Linked DNA regions of Rhinolophus ferrumequinum. The main gene of each other region encodes a partner of the protein of the gene in region 2 in a complex. Links are inferred from orthologs where the notes say so. Each region holds a gene or a part of one and is shown on either strand. Other genes may lie near its edges.

What was found. Proteins that work in one complex are often made in the same cells at the same time.
Region 1: the proteins of ATP2A1 (region 2) and SLN are in contact, whole or in part, in a crystal structure (PDB 3W5A), measured with the Oryctolagus cuniculus proteins. The link is inferred for Rhinolophus ferrumequinum from reciprocal best matches to the Homo sapiens genes ATP2A1 and SLN. Residues at the interface, in XP_069919846.1 of Oryctolagus cuniculus: Phe88, Val89, Leu96, Ala100, Ile103, Val104, Trp107, Arg110, Asn111, Asn114, Arg324, Lys328, Trp794, Leu797, Gly801, Leu802, Thr805, Ala806, Phe809, Trp932, Ser936, Leu939, Leu943, Leu946, Ile947, Val950, Pro952, Leu953, Ile956; in NP_001075856.1 of Oryctolagus cuniculus: Met1, Glu2, Arg3, Ser4, Thr5, Arg6, Glu7, Leu8, Leu10, Asn11, Phe12, Val14, Val15, Thr18, Val19, Leu21, Ile22, Trp23, Leu25, Val26, Tyr29.

The regions. Positions count from the first base shown.
Region 1 is NC_046294.1:76,577,757-76,588,306, forward strand, and holds the start of SLN (sarcolipin), read right to left. Parts: upstream 3,992-10,550; 5' UTR 3,898-3,991; intron 347-3,897; 5' UTR 273-346; coding exon 177-272; 3' UTR 1-176. UniProt on the Homo sapiens protein: Reversibly inhibits the activity of ATP2A1/SERCA1 and ATP2A2/SERCA2 in sarcoplasmic reticulum by decreasing the apparent affinity of the ATPase for Ca(2+). Also inhibits the activity of ATP2A3/SERCA3.
Region 2 is NW_022680357.1:1,254,163-1,264,797, forward strand, and holds the start of ATP2A1 (sarcoplasmic/endoplasmic reticulum calcium ATPase 1), read left to right. Parts: upstream 1-5,748; 5' UTR 5,749-5,955; coding exon 5,956-6,073; intron 6,074-6,403; coding exon 6,404-6,421; intron 6,422-6,812; coding exon 6,813-6,895; intron 6,896-8,287; coding exon 8,288-8,392; intron 8,393-9,061; coding exon 9,062-9,200; intron 9,201-10,635. Other genes in the region: SH2B1 (SH2B adapter protein 1), read left to right, coding at 593-948. UniProt on the Homo sapiens protein: Key regulator of striated muscle performance by acting as the major Ca(2+) ATPase responsible for the reuptake of cytosolic Ca(2+) into the sarcoplasmic reticulum.

The DNA.
Region 1 (10,550 bases), on a different chromosome or scaffold from region 2:
TCTTTAGAGAACATACAATTTATCCTAACACTGGAAGCACCTCAGATACTGTGAGTGCAGGTCAGAAGTGCCTTGAGGTACCGAGAAAGGCATCCCATGACAGCAGTGGGATCTCAGGGCATACAGCAGGCAGCTCTGGAGTGTTGCAGTCAATCCCAGGAGCGTGACATGCCGTCTCAGCTCTGATAGGACCTCACAAGGAGCCACATGAGGAGAACCGTAATCAGGACAATGGTGAAGTTGAGACACAGCTCCCGGGTGGAGTGTTCCATTCTCACAGTGGCTCAGTGAGAACCGGAGGCAGACTTCTCAGGGCACACCAGAGCCTCCTGCTTGTCCTCACCTCCTAACAGAATGTAACAAAGTAAAAACGAGGAGATTAATGAGCATTCCTTCCTCAAAGGAAATAGAAGCATTGCGGAAGAGGTTAGTGTTAGGAGCTGAATTGTGTCGCCCCCAGAATTCATATGTTGAAATCCTAAGCCCCAGTATCTCAGAATATGACTGTATTTGGAGATAGGGTTTTTCAACAGGTAATTAAGTTAAAATGAGGTCATTAAGATGGGCCCTGATTCAATTGAGTGGTGTCCTTACAAGAAGAGATTAGAACACAGATATGTACAGAGGAAAACAATTGAAGACAGGGAGGAGATAGATATCTGGAAGCCAAGCAGAGAGGCCTCAGAAAAAATCAACCTGCCAACACCCTGACCACAGATTTCTAGCCTCCAGAATACCTCTGGACTAGAGTTGCAACTCCTCCCTGGGTCTCCAGTCTGCAGCCTACCTGCAGATTTTAGATTTGCCGGCCTCCACAACTGCACAAGCCAATTACATCACACACACACACACACACACCCACACACACACACACACACCCTATTGGTTCTGTTTCTCTGAAGAATCCTGACTAACACAGAGAGACTGTCTTTTCTGCCTGATATCAAAAAGACCAACATAGTCCTGCTTTTTTTCCTGTAATGATTATATTGATGCTTTTGATAAAATACAAAATATTACATTTTTTTCTCTCCAATTTCTGTGTTTGTGTATGTGAATAGGTGTGTACTTGCTTTGCTAACTTAGAGTCACAGCAAGCAAGGTCATCAAAACAGAAAACAAATGTTATGGTTTAGTACTATTCTTGCTTTCAGTTACATATAGAAGTAGGATACCATAATTTTTCAGGTCTCAGGCCTGAAAAATAGGTCTTCTTCTAGCCCCGGTGAAAGCATGGAGTAGTTTGAACATCTGCCTGGCCTTTTATAAGCACTGCATTGGGCACAGAGCCTATTGGGGGTCAACTGAAAGTACCTCACATAACAGACACTCAGTCCAAAGAGCAAGTGTTAACCTCATGGGTACTTCTATTTCAACAAGGGCTTGTGCCAGCTATTTTTAGTCAGGTCTAGGATGTGCTCAGATTGTAAACACTTCAAAGAGCAGGGATGATATCTTTCTAGTTTGTACAGACAGTACACTTAGGAAATCACACTTGGACAACATATGCGATGCAGTCAGTCAAATTATTACCTTCAGTGATGTGGCATAATGCACACTTTGTGTATGTAAATTAAATGAAATTAAAGATTAAAGATAATATTTTAGATACTTAAAAGTCTCTTGTAGAGTAAAAACGTTCAAGAGGAAAGGGTGTTTTGTTCATTTGCTAAGGGTGGAAGTTCAGAGGACAGGAAGGGTTGTTAGCAAGCCTTTAGCCTGACAACCATCTAACCTGACTGAATTATTAATTGTAACAACTATACTTGTTGTATTAATAGTGGACCAAACTGTTAATTGTATAAACTAGATGAATAGTCATTTTTCATATTATTTCATTGTTAGTGTAACACACAAATTCAGATCAGATGGTGTCAACCAGTAGGTTGTTCAATCCTGGTTGAAAATATGGCCAATGATGATTGATTTATATTTTATTTTCCTTTTTATTCTTATCCATCTTTTGGCCCTCCACACGAAGTATGAGGTAAATCACCAACCAAAATCTTTACAACCAATTGAAGAAGAGAGTAAACAGAAGGAAATAAATGGCTAAATGACTAGAGAGAATATGTAAGAATGTACACAAGAGCAGGGGAGAACAGGAAGGTGATGAATCTAGGTAGGGAGCCTGGAGGCCAAAGAATGAGAATCAAAAGCAGACTCTTCCTTATGAATTTATTAAAAAAATCAAATCCTCATGCAAATGCCCACTCATTTGGATAAGTTCTAAAGAAATACTGAGATATGCAAAAAACATGACACTCTTTATAATGATCGAAACAACCCAGTTCAGGGAGGGCAAAATAATGGTCCCACCAAATCTGCGTTCGTTAGATTAAGCTCCTAAATAAAGGAAATCATGAGAGTGGCCCAACAGAAACATGCTGGGGAAGATGTTATTGAAAGCTGTCCACAATTCTGGTCATGTGACCTTCACAACAACTCCGTGACCTTCACACATCAGGCAAGTATTATTGTGATTTTTATCTCTCCCAAAATTACAGCTAAGAAAGTGGCTTTTACAAAGAGGTTAAATTGTTTGTATAATGACACACAGCGATTTAGAGGCAGAGCTAGAACTGGCAGGCTGGTACTGGTTTCTATAACAGAATTGTGATTACTCCATACGAGTGATTACAAGAATGAATCATTACGTGGTCTTTAGAAACTCAAGCACATATGTACGAGGATGTTCATGCAAGAATGGTCACAGCAACATTGTCTCAATACCTTAAAGCTGGAAACAACTCAAATGTTTATCAATAGTAGAATAGATGATAAATTGTGGTATGTTCATACACTTGAATGCTATAGAGCTAAGAAAGTATACGAACTATAACAGTACTCAAGATGGGTGGAGCTCATAAATATAAATGTTGGGCAAAAGAATTTACAAAAGAAACATAGAATATGATTGCATTTATACAAAGCCAAAAACAGAACTTAATCATATTGTTTGGGAATGCAGACATAGATGGTAAAATTATATATAAAGAGAAGCATGGGCAAGATTACTCAACAATCAAGATGGTGATTGCCTCTGGTGGGGCAAAAGGGAGAGGTGACCAGGAATGAACTTCTGGGGGGCTGGCAATGATCTGTTTCTTGACCTGGGTGATAGTTATATAGGTGTTGCCTTATAATTATTGTCAAACTGTATGTTTTATGCATTCTTCATGTTCTTTCCAGTAGTCTCTGAATTGAAAGACTACCCATCACACTTCTTTATTTCCTGTGGTTTACCTCTTACTATTTCTTGCACTTTGATGGTGAAGTTAAATATTGGTTGTTTTATATATTTTTTAATGAATAAAACACAAAGAGTTAAGGTGAGAATTTCTAATGAATCCAACTCAATCAACACATACTCTAACTGTAGAAGGTGGGCTTGACTTGACTTTCACACACATTTATACCAAAGGTAGGCAGAAATTCAGATCAGCAACCTTCATTTTTTTGCTGTTAACCCACAAAAACAATTTTGGCTTCATTTAAAATCTTTCCTGGAGTCAAAATCACACCATATGATCCAAAGCGATTACCATATGGATGAAATAAAAACCAAAAAAGCTCTGAATAAATTATTCAGACTTTCGTTGAACAGAGATTTTTCAGAAGATGGAAGACAGACTTTCCTCCATGATAAAAAAAAAAATGTTTTTTAAGAGAAAGGGAGAAAATGCATACATACCATGAGGTGAAAAAAAGGACAAGAATCGATATTATTCACTTTATATCTGAAGAAACACTGTGTACAACAAGCATAGCCTATTTCATTATGAAATGTAAATATTCCACTGCCTTTCTCATTTGTAACTTGTGCACACACATACACACACACTCCATGCTAAGCATGAAAGTCCTGCTGTTCCGTAAAGAGGGTCAAGAACACACCTGGCTGTTGTAGGTTTCTCCTGTCTTTCTCCAACGTGGGCTCCAATTCTGGCTCCACCTCTGGCTGGTCTTCTGGGCTGTGTGAACTCCTGGGCTCTGGCAGGGCCTAAAGTAGTCCCAGGGAGGTGGCAATCACTGTGATGTCACTAATGAAACATCTCAAAGGAACAACCTCCAAAGGTTTGAGGCTATTTGTGTTTAGGGGGACATGGAAATATATTGACTAAGACTCTGTTCTTTTGGCTGCAAATTTGTGTTAACACCGCAGGTACTTAAAAATCTTTTCTTTCCAATTGATTTTTGTTATAGTCAATGCAAGTTTTAATCTTTTACATCTTCATGAATACCTCTAACACGTGTTTAAAAGATCATAAACCAAGAGTGGTAGCCAAATATTTAAAAATCAATGTGGCATTTGGCTGCTCTCCTTACTCAGCATGTGAGGGTGTAAAATACGACTTCATTTTACTACCCTTTAGCTCTTTGAAATGTGAAGAGTTCTGCACCTCGTGCACACACATCCCAAACTGCACGCACACACCAGAATTCAACAGTCTTCTTCAGCTCCTTCCAAACTGTCTTTAGTCCAAGCAGTGAAAGTTATCTCCTCAGTCACCTGCTCTGCATACCTTTCCAGCTAAGCTGTATGTTGCAAGATTACACATTAATATACCGTTTCATCTAAAACAGCTGTGGAAGCCACGGTTTATATATCTCTGTCAGTAAACTAATACAGCAGTAAGCTCATACAGCAAAACTCAAAGTCATTTGGATAGATTGGAGGTAAAAGGAGAACTGTCAAAGCTAGTGAAAAACATGAGTTACCGGCTATATATCTGAAAGAAATCTAATTGAATAACTTTCAAATGTAAACACTGACTAAAACTAGACTCTTAAGATGAGTTTGTAATAAAAAATTCAGATGTCTGCTGGTAAAAGGAACCTGTGAAGTGTTTAACTAGACTTGAAAACACATCAACTAAGCAATTTAAACATGATTCCCCAAATTGTGTTTACTCAGCAAATTCTTTCTTTGCAGATAATAGAGCAAATCTCCCCTCTGAATTCTCAGTTAGGGTCAATCAAAATAATGCATTCCCACAAAGCATAAACAAATAAAATTCTCTATATAGTTGTGTTCATTGTCAAATCTTTCCCCACCCTTCCTGATACTCCAGAGACAGTACTGAAAGAAAGACTTTCCATTCTATTTCTTCATTTCAACATAAGCCCAATGATGGGTAATCTTAAAACAACATCCTGTCGTCACATGCCTTGTAAAAAGATAACTTGCTGAAGTGACAAATAGTACCTAATAATTATAGCCCAATCAAACACTTGCAGTTATTTGGTGCCATCTGGCAAACTCCTTGAATGTAGTCAGATTTCTGTCTTTTGCCTCCAAGCCCTTGCCAGATTATTTCAAATGCTAGGAATGTTTTCCTAGTAACCAAACCACACCTGTCCCCTTTTTAACCACTCGAAATTACTTTTTGTCCAATTAAAAAGATATATTTATTGTAAAAAATTTGAAAACATAAAAGTATAAAGAAAATTTAAGTTACCGCTAATCCCACCACCTAAAAGGGAAAAGACCCTTTATATTACTTTTTATTCATGTTTGAGGCTGCATCGATAACAATTTCAAATCCCAAAATATTTTTGGTAACGGCATCTGATACTTGAAAAAGTGTTTTTGTTTTTTTTAAATCACGTAGAATCAAATTATTCATACTATATACCATGGTTGGTATTGGGTTTATGGGACAAGTGTTTATTTTGTACGTGTGAAAATAAGAATTAGCTCTTAACAATAGTTAACACATTAACTACAATGGAGAAATATTAACATATCACAAAATAGCTTACCAATTTGTCAATTTAGTTGAATTGGTCAATTTCAATGTAACTTGGAGGAAAAATCCTACTGCTTATTCATGAGTCAGTTCAATTTGTCTATTTGGTTGTTCCATTTAAGTTTATCCAACATTATACCAGGAACTCTTGTGTCCAGTACACTGACAAATTCCCAGATAGAGACTTCAGAAGCTTCTGCATATTCATGGTTTATCATGGGATGTCATGAGAGAGTGGGATTACACTGGGAATTTAGCTTGTCATTAATTTGACCTAACCTCTCCAGAAAAATATGCAATCCACCCAAAGCCACCTGATAACTGTTCAAAGGCTGAAGGGAGAGAGTTTAACCCTGAGGATCCGCCAGTCCATTAAAAAGAGGAAAAAAAAAACAAAAACACGTTATTGTCTCTCATTTAAGAAACTGAGAATAAGATTTCAAATCTTATTGTGCCGAAGCAAATTCATCCCTTTCAGTCAACCTTATTTAATTGTACTGATACTTTCCCTTCTGTGAGCAATTCCCATGTCTTAACAGCATTCATTACATATCAACTTTCTTTCAAGGTGCTGCCTTGCCCATCAGCAGGAAGACATGCTAAATAATCTTTGACATTATTTCTGTGCCTATTAATCTAGAATTTAGCCAAGAGCCAAAAATGTCAAGAAAACGACATCACATTGACATTGGCATTGAGGATTTAATTAATATTTATCTCCTCCTCTCCCATCACCACCATATACATTCTTAGGTTCTTAGGTGTAAAACATTATATACCTTTTGAGAATCAATGCTGAGGTCTTGTGCCTCATTAAGAGCTAAACTAGCTTTTTCCATTTACTCCCCATTTCCATCCACCTTTTTACTTTGGGAAGCGAAAAGTGAAGATCTCATGTCAGTCCATGAATCCTGCAAGTCTGTTCCACAGTGGGAGCTTTCAGCAAGGCCTTCGTGAGCGGCGATAAGCTCTTAGCACATCACAGTAATGAGTGCGATGATCATGGTACCTTTCTCACCTTCACAGCCCCACATGCAGCTGCTCAGAATGCAAGAAACAGTTTCCTGCTACTCTCTTTCATTATCCTAAATACATGAGTACAAGCTCAGAGAAAGAGGAAGTCCTATTTCTTGAAGTTTTCTCCATGTCCTTGAAAAATTAATCATTATTATCTATATTCTTAATCACTTGTGGCACATACGTGATTTTGTCTCACTACCTGCATTTTAATTTCAAAGGCAGGAAGGGTCTCTTGTATTTCTTTTGTTTCTCTAGCTGCACACTGAGCCAGAGAAGAGTCATAAAAGATGCTCTAGAATGTATAGCAAGAGGCTCAGCTTGAGCCTCCATCACATCTCCTGCTGAGATCCAGACATATCTAAGCATGCCTGGCAAAGATGAGTGAGGGAAGTTGACATCAATATCAAGTCTACTAATAAAAGGGCCTAAAAGCCACCTGGGCAATAAAGCTCTGAAGGGAAGTGATCAAGACAATACTGTAGTTTAGCAACAGGGAGAATAGATGGTCATTTTATTGCAGTAACTCAAATTCAGTTTTAGTCCAGGTCCTGTGAGAAGCAAGATGGGACTAAATGTGCAAAAGGAAAATGTATTTGGGGGAATGCCTGTGAGAAAAAAATATGGAAGGAGGGAGGAAACATAGAATCATCAAACAGCAAGAAAAAGACAGGGAAAAGGACGATTGGGTAGCAGCATCCTAGGCTGCAACTCAGCTCTCAGGAAAGTTTGACAAGTCTGTTAGGAAACCTCAAGTCAAAGTCATCTGTCAGAGGTGCCCGGTGTCTCCCAGGAATGACTCGACCTTCCTGTTCCTCCCACACTCAATCATTGACTGGGAAAAACACTGGGAAATGTGGCCTCTGTGCAAACATGATAATGATCTGAGTACAGCAGCTGGGGTCCACCTCTATTATGGAGCAGTCAGGTCTGAGAGGCACATTCCCATGGCCATCATACCCACAAACTGCCCTCTTATTTCTCTACAGCTTGGAGTCTGGGTCCTAGGAGTAGAGAGAGCTATGGTTAAACAAACAAACAAACAAACAAACAAAAAACTACTCCATAACTCTTTTAACAACCTAAGGGTGTAACACTGACCGAGAGAGAGATTCTCCCTCTACCCTTGCCATTTCACAGACCCCAGCACATCCACGGAGCCAGCAACGTAATGTTCTTCCACTGAAGTATTACAGAGCCGAGCTGAAGCAGCAGTGCTGACCAAGATGTATTTGCAGTTTATACTAAACTGTGCAGGCATTAGTAGCAAATAGCAGAAGAGAGGAACTTGAGCTAAAGAGCAAGAAAGTGGGAGGCACTCCATGGTAGCCAACCATACTAGTGCGTGAGCACATGTCAACCACCCCCTGAAGTCTCTGGAAAAAATCGGGAGGAGAATTACAGGGGTTCGCAGTCTTGCCTAATAGCTGGAGCTAGAGCCAGAAAATTTTGTGTTAGTCCTGTTTATAATAGGCCATTTTAGTCCTGGATTTGTGAGGCGACACCTGTTAACTTCATCTGACTTGAAACCAATTAAATTCCTCTTCTCTGGAACAAGTGTATTTCTGCTCTATAATAAGATTCTGCAAATAAACAGCTTTCTGTCAGCACATTGAACATAGCTACTGTGAGAGGGGGGCAGAGGGAAAGCAGCCAAAACTGTGTTTACTACTAGGCTAATACCATCTGCCCTCAAAACACTCCCAGATTTCAGATTGGCTTTATTTCTCTGATGGGAAATAAGAATGCAGCAATCTTAACGTGCTGTTACTGAGCTGTTAAGAGTGATTCTGGCCAGACACGCCCACTTGAAACATTCTGTTCCTTAGTGAATTTGATCAAGGATATTTTGACTGAATTTCCTTTGAGAATCTGTCAGTCAGAATAACACAACTGCAGTTTCAGCAAGAATAAGAAGAATCAGATAAAATTGCTTGCTGTTCTCTGTGAACAAGTTCATTTGGCTGTAGCCTTTGGCTATTAAAGTAGAGAGAACAGAGTCATAAAGAATCATGAAAATCTATCTCTGCTCTCTGTGAAGGTAATGAGAAAACGGAAGTGCCTAGGTGCTGCAATGTGAAAGAAGCTTAGCTGGATGAAAGCTACAGGCTAGGTTTCCTTTTGGATGAGGGATGTGCTACCTCTGAGAGCAACTGGACACTCCTTCTACAGCCTGGGGAGTAACCTAACCTTTTACACTTTTACAGTAAGTGAATGTGGAGTTGCCAGGGGCTAGTATTCCATGAATTTGGGAAGCTTATCTGGGAGGGGTGGTTCAGGCCTATTCTCTTTAGCTTGCATTCTGCGGGTTCTTGCCCTTAATTGCCAGTGTGGAAGAGCAAAGGGGGCCCCCAGACCTCAGGCCAATTACATCTATGTCTTTACGGGGTATACCTTTTGTGCTAACACAAATCCAACAAGCTGACATCTTCTTCCTCATCTATTTTATCCCTCTTTTGCTAGATGTGACAGCCCTCACCAGGCACTTACATGGCAACCACTCCTACTGAGTACCGGGCACAAGGCATCACTGCCACTTCCTCTATGGACAATTGATTGAGTCTCCCAGTCGTCACCATGACATGCCTTGTCTGGTGCCAGACACCCTTCCTCTGCAGCCTCCCCTGCTGGGTACCACAGCTTTTGACCACTGGAAGTACCAAAGTTACACTTACTTCTGGAGCGAAATGAGGAGTGGGAGTGAGGAAGTATGCCTCTTTCTGTGCGTTACACCCTGTTGAGGAGTACCAAAGAAGTAATTCCTTGCTACCACTCCAGCATCTTCCCAGACATGAGTTCATGGGCAAGTTCAGCCAGGGAACACACAGAAGTAACAGGCATCGTGTTATATCAAACTCACTTCCCTCCACCGCTAAGATTTGATACTACACCAAACTTTTCCTTCTCTTAGGATGAATTACCTCTTAGGAGGTGCCTAAGTTCCCAGAGCAAATCAACTTCTATCTGGCCTCTTCCATCAGTACACAAGACAAGTGCTGACACATCTCGAAACGCAGCACTAGACGCAGCTTGGCTCAAGCTGAGGCCCTTCCCTCACCAGTGTCCTTGCATAGATAGTGCATTATATCATGCTTTCTACCACTTATCTTTCCAGTGGGCCCAGAGTAGAAATTGGCTTCTCTGCACTTGGCATTTTATTTCCTATTTCAGTGTTTTCCTATACCTCCCAAATTAAGTTCAAAATCTTCGGCTACAGAGGCAAAGCCCTATCATAATCTCATTTCTAAAACTCACTGCCCTCCTCTCCAGTAATCCCAAACTTGCACTTCCTCAGACGTTCTCTCCATGTGTGCATATGCCATTTCTTTCACTTATAAGGCATTCTCTCTCAGAGAACGTCTGAGAGAGAATGTCTTCCTTTCTTCCCTCAACACCTCCCACCTTTGTTTGATGATTAACAACAAGACTTGATTCAAATATTACATTCCCTGATCCGGAAAGGTAGGATGGATGGACCTCTGTGATGTATGTAGCCCTTTATACTACTGATTTCACTCTATCACATTGACCTATTGTCCATCTCCCCTCCTTAACAACAGGACTTATCTCTTACTCCTGCAGACCCAGTGCCTACCTACTTGTGTAGTGCAGAGTATATAGTGGGCACTTCATAAAAGTTTGTTGAATAAAAATATACCTGAATGTAAAGTGATTGATTGATTGATTGATTAATTAATAAGTCTTCAACTCATGGGCATCAGAATGTTTTAAAAATAAAAATCTCTTAACTTTCATCAATTTATGTGAGAAAAGTCGGTG
Region 2 (10,635 bases):
GCGAGGAGGAGAGGCGTGGTTAGGGGGCGCAGGGAGAGGAGGCGCCGCCTGGTGTTGGGGCCGCAGAGGGGCAGGCGGCGGGCCGGCCGGAGCCGGGGAGAGCCTGCGGGGGCGGGGGGGGGGGGCGCATTCCCATTTCATCCGACTCCGCCGTGCCATCTGTCTGTCTCCCAGACCCATTCTCCCCGACGCCGCCCTTCCTCAACCCCCCCCCCCCCGTGGGCCTGCCCTTCTCGGGGCGCTCAGTCAGGTCCCCGCCCTCCCCTCCATGTCTGATGTCCCTGTCTGATCTCTCCCTTTGCCCCACCCCGACGTCCCATCTGTCCCCACGTTGCCCACCCCCAGGCCGAGAGCAGGCCGGGAGCCATGCAGGGGTGTGCGAGGGCGGTCGCTGCTACCCCGATGCCTCCTCCACCCTCATGCCCTTCGGAGCGAGTGACTGTGTGTAAGTGTGGTCCTCCTCTCACCGCCGCCCATGACCCATCTTCCATGGGTGGGGGGAGCTAGCACGTGGCTCTGGGGGTGTCGGTGGGCTGCTGCCAGAGCTTGCTTCCCCCCACAATCAGTCTGTCTTCTCACCATTCCTGTCCAGAACCGAACACCTCCCACCACCCACCCCAGCCCCCTGAACCCCCTTCATGGACAGATCCCCCACATCCTGGGGCAGAAGAGGCGTCGACGCCAGAAGTGGCGGCAGCAGCAGCCGCAGCAGCCAAAGAGAGGCAAGAGAAAGAGAAAGCGGGCAGCGGAGGGGGCCAGGAAGAGCTGGTCCCCGTGGTTGTATTGGAAGAGGCCGTAGCTCTGGGCCCGGAGGTCCAAGGAGGTGCTGGATCTGGTGGGGCCCCGGGGGCCACCCCGATGGTGCAGCTCCAGCAGTTACCACTAGGAGGCGATGGAGAAGAAGGGGGCCATCCCAGAGCCATCAATAACCAGTACTCCTTTGTGTGAGACACCCCACCCAACCCTTTCTCCACTCGTCTCGCTCCTGGCGCTCCTTCCTGAGACGGGCTGGGCGGGGGCAGAGAGGACTGGTCGGAACCCGCACCCCCCATGCTTCCTGACCCTTGGTGGCCGAGGGCATGTATGTTGTTACAAGAAGAGGCTTGAGAGCCCTGTTAGCTCCTGGTTCGTACACTACAGGTGCCCCGTCCCCTTGGTGGGGGGTGGGGCTCCATTACCTCCCTGAGGGGCTCTTCTGCTCAGCCCCGCCCCTGGTGGCCATGTCCCCATTACACACCCCCAGCCCAAGGACGGGTGAGGGGAAGGGCTGTCAGTTAAAATTAAGATGGTTGTTGTTGTTGTTTTAAACAAAATGGAGAAGCTTAACTAAATAAAAGGGTTTATCTCAGTTCCATCCTGGTGGCTGTGGCCTGTGTTTGCAGTGGGGGCCGGGCCAGGGGGGTCAGCAGGGGCCCCGGTCCTGGGCTTTCAGCCCACGGCTCCTCTGTGGGCTGTCCTGTGGGTAAGAGCAGAGCCACCCAGCGCTGTCTGGGGTCTCCAGCCACGTTCTCGTAACGGGACTCAATCTCCCAGGACCCCTCCTGCTCTGAGTTCTTCAGTTAAGGCTTCCTACCCCAGGGAGAAAACAGGCAGAGAGAGGTCATGGGGGTGGGCCTGGGGGCACGGGGCTGTGTGGGGAGACATTGAATGTGGCAGCCACAGAGTCTGGCGGCAGAGGGGCCCAAGGGCAGGCTGGCCACCCTCCTCAGAGCCACTCTGGGGAGCCGGAGGCAAGGTGTAACCACTGCAGCCTCAGTATCTTCATCTGGAGAGTGGGAAGTTTCATCTGGGATGGAGCTCGTGACTCACAAGGTCTGAAGGTTAAGTTCCTGAACTTGGGGCAACGACGTTGCTGACCTTGTTTTGATATCAGAGGGATTGTTCATTATGAATTTGTACCAGCTGGACAAACAGTGAACCACGTTTACTATTTGGAAGTGCTGAAAAGGCTGTGTGACAAAGTTAGAGGACCTGAGTTTTTCGCCAACAATTCATGGCTCTTGCATCACGACAATGCACCAGCTCACACGGTACTGTCTGTGAGGGAGTTTTTAGCCAGGAAACAAATAACTGTATTGGAACACCCTCCCTACTCACCTGATCTGGCCCCCAATGACTTCTGTCTTTACCCGGAGATAAAGGAAACATTGAAACGACATTTTGATGACATTCAGGACATCAAGGGTAATACGACGACAGCTCTGATGGCCATTCCAGAAAAAGAGTTCAAAAACGGCTTTGAAGGGTGGACTAGGCGCTGGCGTCGGTGCACAGCTTCCCAAGGGGAGTCCTTCGAAGGTGACCATAGTGATATTCAGCAATGAGGTACGTAGCACTTTTTCTAGGATGAGTTTGCGATCTGAATTGTCCGCCCTCCTAGATGGCCTGGCTAATGGAATTTCACATAAAAGTTCAGATGATTGGCTTCTCTTGAAAATCAGAAGGCAGCCTCGTGCTGCATCTGCCTCATCCCTGCCCGACCTTGTCACTCATGACGTGCCTGGCCTGTGGGTATTTGCGGTTGCAACGTCTGCTGCTCCTCCGTTTCCCCCCAGCCCCTCCGTTTAACCCAGGCCCTGCTCTCTGAATTGCGGCTCTGCCCTCCTCCAGTGGAGGGCGCCCCTGGGCTTCTCGGCTCTGCGGGTAATGGGCGCCCACAAGGAGGGGCCAGGTTCCCCAGACTCCCACCTGCTTTACGTGGCCCCCTCCCCTCCCCACCTCTGTCCACCTACCTCTGCCTCTTACCATTCTGCCTCCATTTCCCTCCCAGTCAGCGTGGAGCCTCCACTTCCACGCCCCCCCCCCAGCCTCTGCCCCCACCTCTGGGCCCTACCCATGCCTGTGACCTTGCTATTCTGGGCCTCGTGTCCTGTGGGGAGATGGACAGGAGACAGCTGGGCTCACAGGCCACTCAGGCTGTGGGCTCGCCTGGGGAAGCCTGCTGGCTCTCCCCGTTTTATCTAATCCCTGGGACTCCCCCAAACCTTGGCCTCAGGAGACGGGGGGGGGGGGGGGGGGGGGGATAGAATTGGCTTTGCAAAGGTGGAGATGCTTTGGGGCGCTGGGTGCGATAGTCTCAAAACGAGATGGCCCCTGAAGGCTGCGTGCCCGAGCGTAAGCAGGGCCTGATTCTCCTAATCTAGCGGCAACTTGTGTGTGGGCTCCCTCTTCCCCTAAACCCCGCCGGCCCTCTGGGACTCGCCTTCTGAAGATGGGTGGGGGAGGGGTTCAAGGGCCCCCCACACCCCAAGATTTGCATGTCTTGGCCGGAGGAGCCTAAGAGACTGCTTCTCTCCCAGCCTGTGGTGGTTCAGCTGAAGTTCAGCACTGGTCAGGGATTGGCTGGGCTCAGTCCGTGGCTCTCACAGACCTACTCGCAGCTTCAGCCTTCAGATAGGAGGGGAAAAACACCTTCCAACTCTGGGCCTGGAGACCCCCGTGGCGTGGCGTGGCGCGGCGCGGCGTGGCGGGGATCCACGAGCAAGGGCCTCCCTGCTCGGCCCCCTCCGGGGCAGTTCACACCCCCAGCCTCCCTGAGGGTGATCCTTCCGCGGCTCTTGGCTTTCCCCCTTTGGCGTCAGGTCCCCGCTCTGGGAAGTTGATGGAGGTAGAAAGGACTAACCTTAAGGTCCCTGTTGCCAGCAGCGTCCTGCAACGCCGGCCTCCTTTCCGCAGCTCCATGCGCTCCGCTCCCTTGAACCTGTGACCGGTCCAGCCTTCTCCCCCTTCTCCATGTTTGGGCATTCCTGCTCCCGTCACTCCTCCAGGTGCTGTCAGGGAGAAGCCAGCCGGCCAAAAGGCTTGGCAGATGCGGAGCCCGACTGGGGCCTAAGAGCTGGGGGGTGCTGGCCAGGTGGAGGTGCCTGGCCAGGTGGATGGAGACTCACGCCGTTGTCTGAGCCCCCACGGCAGGTCACAGCAGGACTCTGCTTCAGCGCAGGTTTTGTTGGAACCCTGAGGAGGAGGGAGGGAGTACCCTGTCTGTGTCCTCAGCTCACCCCGAAATCCAGGAGGAGAGAGGGATGAGTGGGGGGGCCAAATCCTTAAATGCCCTCCCCCCATGCTAGCCTCAGAAGTCGGGTTTCCCTTGCCTTTGCCCGCTGCCCCCTGTGCCACTGTCTGCGTAGCAGCTGGGCGGCCGAGGGAAGCAGCCTTGAGACCCAGTCAGTCAGTGGCCTGTAATCCTCACCATTTCAGGAAACTGAGGAAGGACTTGAGGTCAGGGTGGCGAGGCTGCTTTTCCCCTCACTGACCTTTCACCACTGCTCCACTGAACGTCTCTCCTCTCTCTGCCATCCTTCCCTCCCCCACCCACACCCCAGGCTACCCTCTGCTCCTGCTCCTCCAGCAGCTGCCCTGGTAATAACCAAAAGATGCCCCCATCCCAGAGCAGGGGTGGGGGTGGGGGGCTCGGAGCAGCTGCTTCTCCGAGGAAGCTGACACCAAGGCCAGCCGCTCAGTGACAACTTGTGGCTTTGCACCCAGCCCTGGGCCCCCACCCACCTGGCTGCCACATGCCAGCTCCCTGCTGTCCCTTTTCCCCACTGCTCCTCAGACTTCCTTCTGACCCTGGCAGCTCTCTCTCTGCTCCCCCAGCTCTGGTCTGTCCTTATTTCCCCCAGACATGTCCCCATCAGTCTGCCCTCTCCCCACGCCTTTGGCCTGGAGCCTCTGCTTTATCCAGCTTCCCCAGCACCCTTTCCTGGATGCCCCTTCCCTCCTGCTGCTTCCCACGGGGTGTGCCCAGGGCCTGGACATACAGCTCTGGTCCTCACTCCCCTTGAGCACAGATACTTCAGGGCCAGGTGGAGTGCAGAGCGTCATCCATGTGGGGTCTGCCAGGGAAACCCCTTAGGTTACAGAGAGCACAGTATGGGACGGAGGCGACCCTTCTTCCATGACTTGGGGTGACCCCCACCCCCATCCTGAAATGTTTATCCCTCCCCCTCTGCCATCAGCACATTCTGTAGCCTCTTGGGTTACCTTGCTGCCTGGGTATCCCATTTTCTTGCGGGGGGTGGGATTCACTGTTCGAGATAGGGGGGGCTGGAGGTTATGTTCCCAGAGGCTGAGTTAGAGCGATGTGGGGGGGGGAATTTAGGGGAGAGACAGGCAGTCCTGGCTTTGCTCGTCGGGCCTGGACACTAAATCCCCTGTTGATGGCTGCCGCAACCCCTCCCTAGGGTAGGGTTACCATCTTTACCCTGTCCCCTTGACCCCCTCCCTTCCCTCTTCCCCTCATCCCTCCAGAGCCACTTCCTTTGGCCCCCAAAGGATGTTCTCCCCCTCTTCCATCCCCCGAAGGTTGGAATAGCTCTGCTGCCCTTTCAACAAACTAGGTGAAGAAGGAGGCTGGCAGGTTCAGAGTGGACGAGATGGGACGCAGGGGTGGGGGGTGGGGTGCGAGGGACGTGCCCGGGGAAGGCCTGAGAGGAGAAGTGGGCTTATGGGGAGAACTGGGGGGATGAGTTTGGAACCGGAAATTCAGTGCAACTGAGGAAGCTGAGGCAATTGGGGGAGGGGTCCGTAGCAGAAGACAGAAAGTGAAGTCTCTCTGCCCCCCTTCCCTGGGGCTGGGGCCATCTTAGCTTCCCTCATGAGTGACATCTCAGGCTGCAGCCCCACTGTTCCCCCTCTGTCAGCAGAAATATCTCTCTCTTCTGACCCCTCCTGCTGGCGTCTCAGCCAGCCAATCCCTGATCTGGGGGAGGGGGGAGCCTGGCCCCCCCTACTCCCTCATAAGGGACCAGCTGGGGGCTGGGGGGTGGCCGGCTGCTACAAGTGGGACGGGGGTCAGAGCTTCGTGAAAGGAAGAAAAACCTGGGGGGGGGCAGGAGAGAAAAAAAGAAGAAGCCCCGACAGACAGGCAGGTGGACACACTGAGGAAGGCCCCCCACACGTGAGAACCCCCCTAGAAGAAACACACGGCCCCCTGGCCCCCAGGAAGGGAGCACAATGGAGGGTGCACACTCCAAGAGCACAGAAGAATGTTTGGCCTATTTTGGGGTGAGCGAGACTACAGGCCTTACCCCGGACCAAGTTAAGCGGCATCTGGAGAAATATGGCCCCAATGGTAAGTGTGGCTCGGAGGCTGGTAATGCCCTCCCGCACACGCGCAGCGCACACGCATACTCACACGCAGTCTCCCCCTCTGGGGTATCGTAGGGAAGAGCTGGGTCCAACGACTGCAGCCGTAAGAGGATAGGGAAGAGAATACGGAGAAAACGGGGTCCCTGAGACCCAGAGTTTTGGGAGGTTTTATAGGATGACCTTGGAGAACCTCAGATGCCCTTTCGATGGCCTGATTCTCTTACCTTAGCCACAAAATCCTGGGTGTGTGTGTGGGGGGGCATCAGACAGAACCCCAAATGAACATGTCCTTTTCTTCTTTTTCCCTGGGTAGAGCTCCCTGCTGAGGAAGGTAAGTTACCGAAATCCCTGAGCTGTCATAAATGACCCCCCTCCCCTCTGGGCTCCACTCCCTTTTCCCTGCCTCTCCCTATTCACTCCTGGGGCAAATATCCCTCCCCAAGGGTTTGAGCCGGGCTGGGGGCAGAAGTTTCCAGGCACTTTCTCCTTGGGCATCCAGCCCTTGAACAACTGCCCGCCACTTGGAGGAGCCCGTTGGTGGCGTCCTGGCAAGCTCCCTCTCTCACTACCAAGTGGTCTGCCCATCGCCCCACAACCATCCTGCTCGGGGCTGGAAATCAGGGCGCCCTCAGTCCCTGGCCCCCAGCTTGCACCTGGAGTCCCTGCTGTCCATCCGCTAGACCTTAACCCCGGGGACGCCCTCCCCTTGCCTCTCCCCCCAGGGAAATCCCTGTGGGAGTTGGTGGTAGAACAGTTTGAAGACCTCCTGGTGCGAATCCTTCTCCTGGCCGCCTGCATTTCCTTTGTGAGTGTAGTGGAACATCTGGGGGCTGGCTGCGGGTGCGGGGATCTGGAGAGGGTGCCGAGGGTGGGGAGGGCTCCAAATCCGAGGCCCCCCTCGTCCAAGCCCTCGGCATCCTATCCTGCAGACCAGAACTGACCGGGGTGGGGGGTGGGTTGCTGATGTGCGCCCTCTGTCCTCCCCACACCCCGCAGGCAGGTTTTATTTTAAGCTTTAACGGTGTTCTCAGCCAAAACACTGAAGCTAAGCCACCCCCCGAAGCTTCCAGGGCTCCGAAGGCTCGGGTTACCCCCTTGAGCGAAGGGCTCCCCAGCTCCGTCGCTGCGGCCACTCGGGGGCGCCACTACTCCCTGGGTGCCCGAGGTGCAGGCTGCGCCTCTCCACCAATCCCCGAGCCTCCTGGCGCCGCTGCCCCGCCCTCCTGGCGCTGATTGGTCGAGGCAAAGACCCTCCTAGAGGCGGGAAAGCTGCTGGTGCGAGGGTGACTCCAAAGGCTCCTGGAGGCGCAGACCCCTCACTTGTCGCTGGCCTTGCTTCTCTGCCCCCCAACAGGGCTGAAAATCCTGGGATCCCTTTCCTCCCCAGACTGGCCTGACTCTCCCCTTCCCCGCCCTCCCTGGGCCCCTCCAGCCTCAGCGCTGCCCCCGCCCGCTCCTCAGGGTCCTGCCACGTGTCCTTGCCTGGGGCTCCCTTGGGCGCCCACCGTGCCAGCAATCAGTCGATCCTGCCATGTGGAGTTTCTTCCTTAACATCTTACTCCTGCTGGAAAACAAGCCTCCGGAGGCAAAACAGTGTCCCTGTCCCCTGGTCTCCTTCATGTAGGCCTGTGGGCCCCTGAGCACCAGCTGGCAGGGCCTCACTTCTCCCTTCTCAGATTTGCTCCTTGACATTTGCCTGTGGCTGTTGCCTTTGCAACAGCTGGGGTGGGGTGGGGTGTGTACAGGAGGCCCCGTAACACTATCCCGCCCCCCTCCTGCTCCCTCCTGAAATCGGAGCTTCCCTGCCTCGGGCTGTGGGGGGAGGGCTGTGGGTGGGCCAGCCGCCCGCCTGCCTGCGCGGACCACAGGTTTTTTCCTATGGAGTTGTGGCTCCCCTGGGATGGATGTGGCTGTGTGGGTAGTTGGCCCGGGTGCCCCCTGAGCTTTGTTTACAAGCGTGCAGCTCTGTCAGGGAAACCTGAAAGCATTCCTCGGTAATCCCTGAGGGGTGCAGGTCTGTGCCCGCCTGGCGGTGCTGCCCATCCTGGAGTGTTAGACCGGCAGACCGACGCGCGGCTGCGCGCCCGGTGAGGCCTGGCCCTTTCTTTGCTCCTGCACGAGTTCTCACCTCCATTGGCCTTCTTTACCTGTTTAAGGGCCGCTCTCACCTGTGATTCTCCCTTCTCCTGCTTCCCAGGTGCTGGCCTGGTTTGAGGAAGGTGAGGAGACCGTCACTGCGTTTGTTGAACCCTTTGTCATCCTCTTGATTCTCATTGCCAATGCCATCGTGGGGGTTTGGCAGGTTAGCTTCCACCCCTCTTGGTTCCTTCATGTCCGGACACTGAACATGAGGCCCCCTCCCCCCACCCCCCATCACTTCCCTTGGGCTTGCCTTGTTCTCTGGTCCTATTGCTCAGTTTGTAAATGGGACGGAGTGTGGGCAACAGGTGGGAGCTGGTGTTCCCACTGTCACTTGCTGGCTGTAGAACTCTGGGCAAGTTCCTTCATCTGTCTGAGGCTCGGTTTCCTCATCCATAAAATGGGGCTAATAATCCTGTCCCTCAGAGTTGTGGTGAAATATAAAAAGATGATGAGTGTGAAGGTGCCTGGTGTATAGTAGGTGCTCAATAAATGCTAGTTTGAGTTTCTTCTTTCCATTACCTCACCACCCTCTACTTTTCCTGTCCCCTGCTTTCTGATTTTCTTTCTCTTTTCTTCTCTCCCAACCCCCCTAAACCGTTTTTGGCCGTAAGCAACAGGTTCTTGAACACATACACACCCCGACTCTCCTGGGTGGGGGGGTTGTCTACTCCCCTGCGTAACCTCCCTCTTCCTTGCTGGTGTCCCTGTTGGCCCCAGGACTCTGGCCCCTGCTCTGCCATCCCTACACCGCCTGCCCCACCCTCCCCTGCCTATCTCCTGCCCTTCCTCAACCTCCCTCCCTCTGATGACCTCCACCCTGTCCCGCCAGGAGCGTAATGCAGAGAACGCCATCGAGGCCCTGAAGGAATATGAACCCGAGATGGGGAAAGTCTACCGGGCGGACCGAAAGTCAGTGCAAAGGATCAAGGCCCGGGACATCGTTCCTGGGGACATAGTGGAGGTGGCTGGTGAGTGGTGGGCATGAGCGGTCCAGGACGGGAGGCCTCGGGTTCCAGGCCAGGACGATGTGTCTGCTGGGGGTGGGGGCTGGGCTTCTGGCGTCCAGGGGGTTGCCAGGCTGGAGGAGTCTTTGCTTCTCCTTCCTTCCCAGACTCCTCAGGAGGTCACCCCAGGGCACTGTGGCCACAGCACCCCCTCCCTGTCAGAGTCTCCGCAGGAACAGCCAGTCCTGTCCCTGAAGCTGCAAGCAGACCCCCACTTCCCCTCCCCTCACCCAGCACTTGCAAGCAACAGGTGGAACCCAGGCCCTGCCAATGGTCCCGTCTCCACCCCCCTCCTGAGGCCTGGCCTCCCCCCCCAAGCTTGGTCAGCCTTAAATCTTGACCTCTCAGTGCCCTTGAGGCCTCTCAAAGGGGAAGGAGTGAGGGGAGAAGGAGGAGGGGGGCCAAAGGCTCCAGCCCCCGACCATGTAAGGGAAAGTCAGGCCCCAGCAGAGAGCACGGGACCTGGGAAGCGAGCTCCAGGAGGGCCGCCTCTGCAGGGAGGGACACTTAATGCCTGCCCAGGGAGGGGTGGGGGCCGGCTGGCTAAGATTACTGCGATTCTGCCCCCTTCAGCGGTTTTTATATTTGCCCTGCACAGGCCTCCCCATATCTCTGGGCCCCTGGCATAAGGGAATGTCTTTCTCAGCCGGCTTCCCTCCTCTAGACACCTATGTGGCTACCATGGGAACCTTGGGGAGAAGAAGGGAGGGCGGGCTGAAGACCCCAGCGCCCCATCCCCGGGCTGTCCTGCTACGGTGACAGTTTGGAGTCAGCACCATGAATGTCTATAAATATCACTTGGGCTTGGGTGACAGGGTGTCCCGCCCAGCTCCACGGCCACCCTCCTCCCTCCGCCCTCGGCTTCCTCTGGCACAGGAGGAGGCACCCTAGAAACAGGGGAAGGAAACCCATGGAACCCTGTCCCCAGTACCAGCCTGGGTACCAGGCAGGATTGGGCAGCGGTCCCGGGAAGCATGCGGCCTCCTCAAAGGTCTCAAGTCTGGAGGGGCGTCGGCCCTGCAGCCTCCCCCATGGCGGCTTCTGTCCTGACCCTGACTTCCGGGCCTCTCCCTGGGCCTCCCCCCCGATGGCCCAGCTCTCTGCTGGCTGTTGCTTCACTGTCCCCCGACTCCCTGTTCCCTGCAGGCCTCCCCTTCTCTCCTGCCTGCCTCCCTGCCCCCCACCCACTCACTCCCCCAGCTTCCTGCCCTCCCTCAGGTGCTCACACGGGGCAGCAGGTTTCAGGTGTGTCCTCTCCATGTGCACCTGTGCCCCCCTGCCCCAGCCTTCCTCCCTCTCCTCCTGCACCTTCCCTTCTCATACTCCCCTCTCACTTGCTCTCTCCTGCTTCTGGCTCCACCTTTTGTTGACATTGATTTTCTCCGGTTTCTTCCTGCCT